2 linked regions of the Sus scrofa genome follow. The protein of the gene in region 2 purifies or fractionates together with the protein of the main gene of each other region. This does not show direct contact. Links are inferred from orthologs where the notes say so. Each region holds a gene or a part of one and is shown on either strand. Other genes may lie near its edges.

The links.
Region 1: the proteins of FIP1L1 (region 2) and CSTF2T purify together in Homo sapiens (co-immunoprecipitation; 3 studies listed by BioGRID and IntAct, with this or other methods). This does not show direct contact. The link is inferred for Sus scrofa from reciprocal best matches to the Homo sapiens genes FIP1L1 and CSTF2T.

The regions. Positions count from the first base shown.
Region 1 is NC_010456.5:98,101,978-98,108,729, reverse strand, and holds the start of CSTF2T (cleavage stimulation factor subunit 2 tau variant), read right to left. Parts: upstream 3,774-6,752; 5' UTR 2,895-3,773; coding exon 1,047-2,894; 3' UTR 1-1,046. UniProt on the Homo sapiens protein: May play a significant role in AAUAAA-independent mRNA polyadenylation in germ cells. Directly involved in the binding to pre-mRNAs.
Region 2 is NC_010450.4:40,166,279-40,172,288, reverse strand, and holds part of FIP1L1 (pre-mRNA 3'-end-processing factor FIP1), read right to left. Parts: intron 5,684-6,010; coding exon 5,580-5,683; intron 2,158-5,579; coding exon 2,093-2,157; intron 1,561-2,092; coding exon 1,450-1,560; intron 861-1,449; coding exon 730-860; intron 441-729; coding exon 372-440; intron 1-371.

The sequences.
Region 1 (6,752 bases), on a different chromosome or scaffold from region 2:
ACCAAAAGGCATTTTAAATGTTGCTGAGACTAAGATTTTAACTCCTGATTCTGGCTGACCAGATGGATACCATCTGTGTATGGAAGCTAGTTACCAGGAAACTAACACTGCATGAAGTCCCCCACTATTTATGAAAAGCCCAATGTTGTGTATAATTCATCCAGAACAACTGGTCCCTAGACTCCAGTTTTGGGGAAGGATGTGAGAGAATTATTCAGATTCACATTTAGACCTTAAAAGACTGAGAAATAGGAAGGTACTGAGAGATACAGAGTCTCATCAGAGCAGAATTAAATAACTTGGTTGACCCTAAAACTGTCCCAGCAAAATCATCAAGCCCAGGGCCTGGCCAAAATATTGCTCAAAGGGTGGGATAAATGAAATACCACACCAGATGCACTCTTTGATTTTTCAGGTAGCACAGCTTCAGAAAAAACAATTCCAATACCACAAGATGAGACTCAGCTGGTTAGCTCTAATGTTCTGAAGTAATGCCAAACTCTGAAACAATGCTTAACCTAATACAGCATTCCGTTGACCCCAAAATAGGATTTTGTATTTTAAATAGCTTAACAAAAAATATTATCTTGTAATTTTGAGGTAAACTTCATTTTCTTATACAACCAAACATCTTAAACTATCTTAGTACATTAACATTTTAACAGATTATCTTTTATCTTTATGTGCAGTTTTCACATTGTTTTACTAAGAATTTTAAAAATGTAGTTAACACATTGTAGACATTTTTCAATAATGCTGTATAATCTTTGTAATCTTATTGGTATAACCATGTTTAGTTATTTTTGTGTATTTACAGTGAATTGAAGTGAACAGACCCACTCCCACCTCCCCCTATCCCACAATTACAAAAAGGAAAAAAGAAAAAAAAAGAAAGAAAGAAACAAGGGATGAGATTAGGGTCCAGGAGGAAGGAAACCCTAATCATTCAAGTGAGGGGATGCAGAAGTCAGCTTTTTGCACCCACCCATTCTCTATATTACAGAAAACTTTTCTGGGATTACTGCCAAATATGTTCTCAAAATCTTTCAAGAAGCTCCAGTGGATTTCTGGATTTGCTCCTTTAAAATCAAGATACTCTGCCTTTGCTCAGGAGGCAGCATGGCAATTTGATCTGCAGTCAGTTGCAGAACCTGCATGATCAAAGCTGCCTTTTCTTGATCCTGTGGAGTTACTTGGCTCTGCCCAGGACTAAAACTGCTAGCCTGGCCTCCACCTTGCTTGCCTGGCCCTTGAATGCCAGCTCCTTGCATACCTGCTCCCTGCATGCCAGCTCCTTGCATACCTGCCCCCTGCATGCCAGCGCCTTGCATACCTGCCCCCTGCATGCTAGCACCTTGCATACCTGCCCCCTGCATGCCAGCTCCAGGATTTCCCACCCCTGAAATGCTTGGGACTTGTCTGGGTCCCTGAGGACCACCTGCCCCAATATTGATGGGACCAGGACCCTGGATTCCGCCGCTCATAGGGCCTCTCGAACTGGGGCCGGGGCCTCTCATCTCCATTCCTCTTGCATCCATGCCTCTTGCTTCCATTCCTCTGGTTTCCAATGCACAGGTCTCCATTCCTCTTCTCTCCATTACTCGTGTCTCTAAGACCTCAGTTTCCATGGCTCGAGCCTCCATTCCTCGAGAATCTCTACTACCTCTACCATCCATAGGAAGACCCCTTTGATCTATCATGGGTCCTCTGGGCTCTCCAATGAGCAGTCTGGGATCTGCTAATGGCCCTCCCCTCATTTCATGTGAGGAAGGGCCACGGCTGTCATGACCAGAGGCATGGTGCATTGGAGGACCCTGATGAGGTGGCCCAAGGTAGCCTCTGGGCTCTACTTCTCCAGTGACTGAAAGCAAAGTCCCTCCACGCGGGTCATTTGGAGCATCTCCTAACAGTCCTCGAGGAGGTAGGCCACCAGGAGCCATGGGTCCACGAGGCATAGGAGCTCTAGGATCCGAAATCTGCATCTGCCCTCGCTCTAAGGGCACTGGACCAACCCCTGGCATTCCAACTTGGGGCTGCATGGCTCCGCCAGGAGTTAAGGAACCAGGGCCAGGACCAGGAACTGCAGCTGGAATTGGCCCTGGGGCTGGAATTCCACCCTGGATAGGGGTCTGCATCAGAGGAGGGATGTCTTTCACAGGTCTTCTGGCCAAATGCTGAGGCTGAGGGGCTGGAGGATTCTGCTGGTTCAGCAGAACATTAGGTCCTGGGCAGAGTCCAGGGCCAGGGCCAGGGCCCGGGCCCGGGCCAGAGACAGGTTGAGATTTGCCTGGGATGAGTGGTGTGACATGTATTTTGCGATGCAAAATTTTCAGAGCAATCTCTGGATCCATGATTCTCATCACTACTTGTGCCTGCAACAGCGCATAAGCCAGCTGAGGGTTCTGAAGTAACATATTTCGAGCTTCCTGATGACTGTTTTGGACACAAAGCTTCATCTGCTTCATCAGCTCAAACATCTGCTCCGGGGGGAGACTAGCGACTGCCCTGGTAATTGATTCGGGGGCGTCTTCTGGATCGATGGGGTCTCCATAGGGAGAGTCAATGATGGGGGCTGCAGGCCCTAAGCTCTTTAACTCCTCCTTGTTCTTTTCGCTGGCAGCATTGTCCACCCGAAGCGCTCTCCCGCTGAACTCCCGCCCATTAAGGTTCCGCATGGCACTAAGCGCGGTCTCCTGGTCTTGGTACTCACAGAAGCCATAACCTTTAGGTTTTCCCGTCTCTCTATCGTATACCAGCCGGAAACTCACAACAGAACCAACCTCGGAGAAAATGTCCTTTAACTGCTCCTCAGTTGCCTCATACGGAATGTTCCCCACGAACACGGAACGCAGTGATCGATCCATTGCCGGGTCTCTCACCGCCAAACTCGACATGATTCCGGCTGTGCACACACGCCGGAGAGCGGATTCTTCCAAGAGCCGTCCTCTGGCGACCCACACTTCCGCCGAGCAACGGAAGCGGTTTTCAGAATCCGGGCGGAAACAGCAGTACTCTGCTGAAATAGTTCCGCTAGTCCGTGGCACTTACACCTCTACGTTCCAGTAACTAAACTAACGTTTTCTGCCCCTGGACTTTCACTGAGGCGCGAGATTCCCTTCTCACCTCTTATTTTTACAGACTTTGCACCGCGCGGTACCAACTCGGCCAGGAAAAGCTTAGTGCGGGAGGACCACAGTAAAGATGGCCGCGTAGACTTCACCATGGTAACGAGGAGCGGCCGCCTACCGTGACGTCACGGGCGGTTTTGCTTCCGTTTGCCCGGCGGGAAACCGCTAACTGAAAGCGACTAAGGCGGTGTGTTCTTTCCGATACAAGTATTTCCAAATAGCAGTATTATAGTGTAATTAAGCTATATTTAAAATCACAGTACAGACAACGAGGGAAGAGTGTAGTCGTGTTTCAAAGAAAATTTGGGATTTGCTTCTTAAAATACAAAATAATATTTCCGTTTTAGAAGAGCATTTTTGGAAAATACACAGAAATGCAAGCCGAAAGCGTGCGCCAGCTCCATCCCCACCCCCATCTCATAGCTTCAGGGAACCGCTGTGGATAGGTGTCTGGCCCTTACAAGTTTCTCTTTGTACAAGCACTCGGCAGTCGAACTATATTCATAATAATATTTTTTATTAATAACATTAACCAGTATTACTATTAATAATATTTCTGGCTACAGAGTATAAATTAAATTTAACCATTCTTATACTGGGAGGCATTTAGATTGGTTCTGATTATTATAAACTGAAGCAATGATTTCACCACTTCTATTATGATAGGGAAGCTTTTATAATGATAAAAATTTATTAAATTTAAAAATTATTTTCGGTTAAAATTTAGCATTCTAATTGATATGTACTATACTTGTAAAATGAGTGCAAGATTTTGAAAACTAAGTATAAAAACAAATATTTTTTATTGTTTCCATGTTGAAGTGATATTTTAACGCATTAGATTAAATAAAATATATTTTAACATAAGTATCACTCCATTTTTTCAATGTGGTTATTTAGAAAAATTAAAATTACTTATATAGATTGTTGCATGTCTGAGGACTGCATTGTTTCAGCCTAAGCTTTATTAACTCTTAAGCAGAGAATCATCTTATTCTATATGCGCCTTTGAGGGGATTATGAAACTTTGTTTCACCAAACAATTGTGTTACAGGGACTTCTGTTGTAGCTCAGCAATTATGAACCCAAGGATGTGAGTTCAGTCTCTGGCCTTTCTTCGTGTGTTAGGAATCTGGCATTGCCATGAGCTGTGTAGTTGGCAGACTCGACTCAGATCTGGCATTGCTGTTGCTGTGGCTGTGTGGTAGGCTGGCAGCTCCAGCTCCCAATCTACCCCTAGCCTGGGAACTTCCATATACTACAGGTGTGGCTCCAAAAAAAGCAAAAAAAAAAAAGAAAAAAAAAAATGTTGTCTCTTGGGTATCATAGTTCAATGCATAGATATAAAATGAGTATGAGGGTTTAGCTACAAAGCATCCATTTACCTTGCCAAGTGTTTTGTTTGTTTGTTTATTTTAGGGCCACACCTGTGGCATATGGAAGTTCCCAGGCTAGGGGTAGATTGGGAGCCGGAGCTGCAGGCCTGCACCACAGCCACAGCAACGCCATATCTGAACCTTGTTTGCAACCTACACCACACCTCACAGCAGTGCCAGATCCTTTAACCTGATGGGTGAGCCCAGAAATCGAACCTGCATCTTCACGGATACTACTCAGGTTCTTAACCTGCTGAGCGGCAACAGGAACTCCTACCTTCAAGTGTTTTAATAGTTCTTTAAAATAGCCTTGGACATAGTGTAGCCAAATCCTGGCCTCTACACCAGCACTGAATTGAATCTTGGAGACAGAGTTTTGGATGAAGCAGAAAAGAACAGTTTTATTGCTTTGCCAGGCAAAGGGGGCAGCAGCTGGCTAATGCCTTCAAGATCGTGTCCCACCCTGGAGAGGGTAGTGAAGAGTCTTAGAGTAATTGTTCAAGGGACAGAGTCTGATCAGACATTCTTCTGATTGGTAGGTGGTGAGGTAATTGCCTAGCCTGAAGTTGCCATCCTCCACCTGAGTGTATGTATTCTTCCTAAAGAAACAACCTAGGGACCTGTGCGTCCGGCCTTTATCTGTATCTTTCAGGGAATTGTGAGTTTGGTGATTCTGCTATGTGGCAGATTTACCATCTAAATTTTTACCAGTTTGGGGAGTTCTCATTGTGGCTCAGCAGAAAGGAATCTGATTAGCATCTCTGAGGCTGAAGGTTTGATATCTGGCCTTGCTCAGTGGGTTAAGGATCTGGCATTGCTGTGGCTATGGTGTAGGCCAGCAGCTATAGCTCTGAATTGACCCCTAGCCTGGGAACCTCCATTTGCCCTGGCTGCAGCCCTAAAAAGACTAATTAATTAACTATTAATTAATAGTTACCAGTCACCCAGCCTAACAGCTATTCTTTGTTTCTACATCTTCACACTTCCTAGTCATTATCTCCTGGAGTCAGCCTCTTACTTTAAAGAAATAGGACACAAGGCTTGTAGCTATTCATTTAAGGGTTTTAATGGCTATCCATTCAAGATATATGATAACTTATATCAGCAACCACAAGTGATAAAGTATTTTTATTGCTAGTAAATTTTATTTCCCCCTGATTCTTTTATTTGAGGTAGGGCAGAAGTGGAGGGGAGTTGAGGAATATATCCTTTCAGAAAAACTGAAAACAAGTTCATTTGGTTCATTTGTCTCCTTTTCATACCATCTCTTTGCTGAGATGGCCATGACTTTTTGACACATTTTCTGTCAAGAGCAACTTAGAAATCAATTACATGTGTAATTGTGTGTGTGTTAAATGTAGCAATCATGTAAATGATAATAGGCTTTAGAATAAATTGTAAAGTTCATAAACAATGTGTGCAGATTATCTGATCCTGAGTTTCTTTCCTGCTACTATTGACAGTATCTAAACTAGTGGTCCTTACACTTTGGCATGTATCAGGACCACCTAGACCCATGGCTAGCTGAGTCAGATTGCTGAGCCTCACCATCTCCTTGCCCCAGTTCAGATTCAGTATTTCAGGGGTGGGACTGGAGAATTTGCATTTCTAACAAGTTCTCAGGTGATGTTAATTCTTGGGGACCCCCACTTTAGGAATTATTGATCTGAACAAAAGGACTTGAAGTGTTCATTTTTTAAACTTGAATCAGGCCAGACTAAGTTTAGCAGACTCTGCTAAAATGTATAAAGTATGGGTGATCTTACAAAAAAAGATCTACTATATTTTAAAACTGACTTACTATAGCTGGTACAAGTTGATCCGTTACTGAAGATACCATGGGCTCAAAGGATGGACAAACAGAGTGGCTAAAGCGTTTTAGGACAAACAAGAAGGGAGAAGCCCTAACTGTGAATGTGCTTTTTGTCACAGGCCATGTATGTTCTTTTTAGTTTCCCTATTCCAGACTAGAAGAATGTTTAGATAAGACCTTCTACGTAGAGGTCCAGTGTGACCCAGCACATAGTTCAATGCCCAGGAAACTTCAAAATATTATTAACCAAATGACCCCAAATTACCAGGAGTTCTTAGGAACCTCTATATTCTCTGTTACCAACACATACTTTTCATACCTCTACCTTGAAAGAACTTCCATTTCAAACTGCTTTTTTTGTTCCCATAATGTTTAAACTTCATAGCGTGGCATGCAATCTGAAGAAAAGTGTAGGTGGCGTCTTTGATGTTGAGA
Region 2 (6,010 bases):
TTTAACAGAAAATCAGGAAAAATAAGTCTCGAATTCTGATAAAGATTATAGCAGGACCTACAATGAGTGCTTAGTCTGTTGGCATAAACTTTTATATCCTACAAACAAACATACATTATGACTCAAAATAAAAATCACAACATATAGCAAGAACAGTTTTACTTGGCATTGTTAGTATAATAGGCTACAATTCACATGCTTGCAAAGTGGAGATAAAACAACAATCAGCAAATTTGTAAGTCACCAGGAAGCTAAAGGATTGGAAAAAAGGTAGCTATTTCCACTTTAATCTCATCCCTTGAGTAGTGGTATGGGAGCAGACTCAAGAACAAAAAAATGAGAGCAACCAAGGATAATTTACTAAAATTCACCTTAAAAAGATTGAATCTGCCATCTTGGATCTCTGCACCTGGTGTAACTTCCATAGTACAGTCTTCGGCCTAAGTTAAATAACATATTCCCCATTAAGATACCACATAAATTTTAATTGTAGGCCATATAAAGACAAACTAGCTGTGGCTAGTTTGTGACTTGAAACTAAAAACATCAGATAATCATTAATATGAAACTCTGAAAGGGAAGGAAGGGAAAAAAACAAACATGGTAAAATGGAATTTTTAAACTATCACATAGCATTTAACCACCTTTATAGGGAACAACTGATTTACTTAGGGAATAAAACTGGGACAGTAGAAAAGGCTGGGGTATTTTGGAATATTTACTAATTACCGTAATTTTATTAGTAGTAGAGGTAACTGGTATAACTTCAAGTCCCATTCGTATCCTCTTTTGTTTTTCACAGTAAGCTTTCCAGGTATCTTCATTAAACCCATAATTAAAATAATCAGAAAGATCAGCACCTAAAGATAAGACACACTTTTAGTGTGCAAATATTTCAATTCTATTTTTATGCAGCATATAATATATATTAAACTGTAAGAATAAAAATGGAGGGCGTTCCCTTCGTGGCTCAGCGGTTAATGAAACCGACTAGGATCCATAAGGATTCGGCTTCGATCCTTGGCCTTGCTCAGTGGGTTAAGGATCCGGCATTGCCGTGAGCTGTGGTGTAGGTCACAGATGCGGCTTGGATCCTGCATTGCTGTGGCTCTGGCATAGGCCAGAGACTACAGCTCTGATTCACCTCCTAGTCTGGGAACTTCCATATGCCGCGGGAGCGGCCCTAGAAAAGGCAAAAAGACAAAAAAAAAAAAAAAAAAAAAGAATTATTTCCTTTAGAAATGGCATTAATAAAACAATGTGCAAAGTCTACTCTTACGTAATGCTAGGCTGTAAGATTTATTAATACAGGTCATTATTATGATATTCATAAGACAACAAAAATTACATTTAAAAAATAATATTCTAAACTGATGCTGAAAAAAACTTTTCTAATAACTGTTTATAATAAAAATCTTTTTAAACTGACATAATCCATAATAATCTTACCAGGTTTTCGCCATGGTTTATCTTCAAAAGAATCCAAATCAACCTCCAAGAGTGGAACTCCATTAATGCTTCCAGGTGCGTCAAGATCCACTCCTTTGACTTTCGTTCCTACTTTAGAAAAGTACAAAATGGTGAAGGAACCACATTGGAAAGAAGCTGATACTACAGACAAACAGAAAACACTGACACCTTTTTACTACTGTTAGCATAAAATACGGCAAAATCCTAAACAAAACGGCAAGGTTTACCATAAATAAACAGTAAGGTCAAAATGTATGGTATAGCTGTAAGTTAAAACGGATAGAGAAATTAGGGACTTGTTGCTCACAATAAGGGATTCCTATACCAAAAGGAAGTTGCTAACTTCCATGTTCTAAATCACTGTAGTCTGTGAGCTAAGAAAGATTTTTTACTTCTTCAAAGGTTATAGGACAAACAAAAAAACCACACATACGTGACAGAAACCCTATGTGACCCACACAACCTAAAATATTGATTACCTAGCCCTTTACAGAAAGTATCTCCACTACATGAAAAATGGTCAAAAACTGCTTTTTAAAAATGAGCTGTAACAGCTTACAACCTATTCATGACCTATTCAGATATATATTCCTATGGATGCAACTGCAAATACAAATTTTACCTGTAGTCCCATAAACTCTTCCTCCTGTCTTGATGTTAAGATTTACAGGTGCTGTGCCGTAACTCCTAAAAGTAAAATAATAAAAATTATCCTGAGAAACTTAAAGTAAAAACAGCAATATATTCTGTATGTAACATAAATTATACACCCAAACATTAACTGAATAAACTGAAACTAGTTCAAACATTTTAGAAAATGTTTTAAACTAATTTTAAGGGTCTGTTCCTTGCTTAAAAAAAGATAAAAACAAGTATTTTTTTAAAAGTCTAATTTTCCAACTCAAAAACCTACTTGCTACTAACTCAATTTCCCACTGTAATAAACTTCCCAGAAATTTGACTGTGAAAGAACAGTTTAAATGCTTTGTTTTCATCTCATCTCCTACTCATTCAAATGGACTTGTGAAAATGCACTGCTTTTCACCTGCCTAATAATTTTCATCTTTTGTCTCCAGTGTATTAAATTTGAAACCTAGGTAATTCTGCTTAAAGATATAAGGATAAATTCAACAAAATATTCAAATACTTGTATAAAGCTCCACTGCTATAAACACAGGAAGTATGAAGTAGCCCCAAATAAACTGTTACTGTCAAGCACTACTTCTACTTAAAATGTTTACTCATCTCATTGGCTAATTAATTCATTTAGTAACTGCTCGAGCATCCACATTACATCATATATAATGCTAAGCTAAAGAGAGAATGAGCAGCTAGACAAACATGGTTCCTCCCCCACAATGCTTACATTTCAACAATCTAAATTAAAAAAAAAAATCTAAATTTAGCACAGCAAAAGCTCTTTGGGATATCTATACATGATGTATAAAAGTCCTAGATGTTTGAAAGTCAAAGTAAAAAACTAAGGATTATTTTTAAATGGTTCTCTTACAGAACTGCTAAAAGATAAATCAAAACCATATTATAAAAGGTTTATCATACTTCATTACATGAATGTCTCTACTTTCCCTTTCCCATTCTGCCTTTTAAAACATTTTTTAAATGACACCAAACATTCATACTCGCTGTGTATAAAGAAGCTTAGCTACATCAAAAACCATTCTTAAGTAAATCTGATACCATCCAATAACCCCCCATGAAGTCTCAGGCTTCTCTAGGGGCTATATCCTATATACTTTAATGTCTAAAGAGAACGTCAAAATAAATTTATCAAGGGGAGTTCCCTGGTGCTCTAGTGGTTAGGATTCAGCGCTTTTCCTGCTACGGCCAGGGTTCAAACCCTGGGCTGGTAACTGAGACCCCACATCAAACCACTGCACACTGTAGTCAAAAAAAAAAAAAAAAAAAAAAAAAACATCAAAATATTTATTTTTGGAGTTCCCTAGTGGCTAGTGGTTAAGGATCTGGTGTTCTCACTGCTATGGTCCGAGGTCAATCCCTGGCCCAGGAACTTCTGTATGCTGCAAGCACAGCCAAAAAAATTTTTAAATTAAAAAATGTTTTAAATAAAAATATATAAAAAATAGGCTGGTAGGAGAGAGGGAAAAAAATTTAATCTACTCCTCCCACATTACCTACACATGGTAATACAATGTTATATACACAATGAACTGTCCAAAAACCTCTAAACCACTGCACCTTTTATCTACCCCTCCATCTATAACCAATCTGTTACCCATGTTATATCCACTTATTATTCACTCAAATATATCTAATTTTTCCATCTATCCCTATATTACTGTTGCTGGCTTAGTTTGGATTATCATCCCATGTGGACAATTACTTCATAGCTGTTAACTTCATTTCTATCTAGTCCATTTCAATTACCACTGCTAGAGTTTATATTTTCAAATAGTGGTGACTTGCCTATAAACCTTTTAAAGGTTCCATGATGATGACAACATGCTAACTCCCATCTCTTCAGTGGTTTCAAGCATCCTTTCTCATCTACCTTATCCTCTAGTCTTAAGATCCTCTAAGCCATGCTTCCACTACATATACATAGTATCACCCATCTAATTTATCTGTCCTTTTGTCTCAAGAATTATTCACACAAGTTCAAATAATACCACATCTAGGATCTTCTCTTCAACACCTACAGACTTTTAGCAACTTATTCCTTTATACAGCTTCATTCCCAATAAAGCTACTTAATGAACTATAGTGCAATTAACAAAATTTTATGTTTCCAATGCACAAGCACCACAATATATATCCATTCTGAAAAACAGAAAAGACGTCAATAGAAAAGATCTACCACCATAACAAAATCTAAACCTATACTTTATTCCCTTCGGATCTTCCTGTAAAATTCTTTCTATGTGCTCTGTGCATCCATGATAGTCCATTCACTTGATCCAGCTTTACAGACTATAATCCTTGAGACAACTTATCAGCCTAAAGAGCCTACAGGCAAATTAACCACTTGAAAAATACACTATGAAAAGCAAAAATACACACTTTTTTCTTTCTTTTTTTTTTTTTAATGCTTTTTAGGGCTGCACCCACAGCGTATGGAGGTTCCCAGGCCAGGGGTCTAATCCAAGCTACAGCTGCGGGCCTACACCACAGCCACAGCAACAGCAGATTCCAGCCGTGTGTGCAACCTACACCACAGTTCATGGCAACACCGGATCCTTAACCGACTGAATGAGGCCAGGGGTCATGGTTCCTAGTCGTATTCTTTTCCACTGCGCCACGACAGGAACTACAGAAATACTTTTGATATTGTTTTTATTGGACAAAAAAATTAAAAATCTAAACTCAGATCTGGATAAGTAAAACGTAAGAACAATGTAGATGTAAACAGCAATTCAAGGTTTTCTAATTCTATTTAAAGAATCTCAATTCATTTATAAAGATATTTCAATTTTAGAAATCAAAAATTGCTGCTTTTACATAACTTTACCTAATTAATTATTTTCAGGAAAAAAGTATTTTCATAGTGAAATCCCTTTTCATCATGAAACATAATTCACATATAACACTAAGTTAATTTTAAGTGTACAACATAATGATTTGACATATGTATAAACCGCAAAGTGATTACAATAACTTCAATTAATAGCTACTACCACACAGTTACAAATTTTTTTTTGGTGACAAGAATTTTTACCTCCTCTCTTAGCAATTCATTTGGTGAAATTTTAACAAAAGTTCTTTCATATCATGGTAAGATGGAAAAGTGTAAGAACAATTAAATCAATCACTAATTGTCTGATACAGGCACTCTACCTTTAATTTAAGCACACAGTTGTTACTTAAGAACTTACCCCAGAGTTCCCGTCCTGGCTTGGCAATAACAAGCCCGACTAGTATCCATGAGGATGCAGGTTCAATCCCTGGCTTCACTCAGTAGGTTAAGGAATTGGTGTTGCTATAAGCTGTGGTGTAGGTCACAGATGTGGCTCAGATCCCATGTTGCTGTAGCTGTGGTATAGGCCAGCAGCTACAGCTCCAATTTGACTCCTAGCCTGAGAACTTCCATATGCCACAGATGAGGCCCTAAAAAGACCAAAAAAAGAACTTACCCATACTGTGGTGCACCCGTTTTAATGTCTCCTATAGTGACATGAACATCATCCTCATCATCATCACTGTCGCTGTCACTGTCGTCTTCAGTCTCAGTCACTTTCTATATCAACATAAACAATCATAAAATACAGTCAACAATCCACTTCAATGACAAATATGAATCGCTGAAAAGGTTAATGGTTTTGCATTTTTTTGAGTTAATTACAGGGGAAAAATAATACCTACTTCAACTCAATTACAACTTTGATGATTTACATGATAAAGAGTTAAGAAGATGAAGTAACACCTTTTCTCAACATTCTTTTGGTAAATAACACCTCATGTATTTTTTGCTACTTTTATAACTGCCCCTCTTGCAAAAAAATCTAAGACAGTATACTAAAATATCAAGAAAATAAAATTATTTTTTAAAAGTATTTGAGGAATT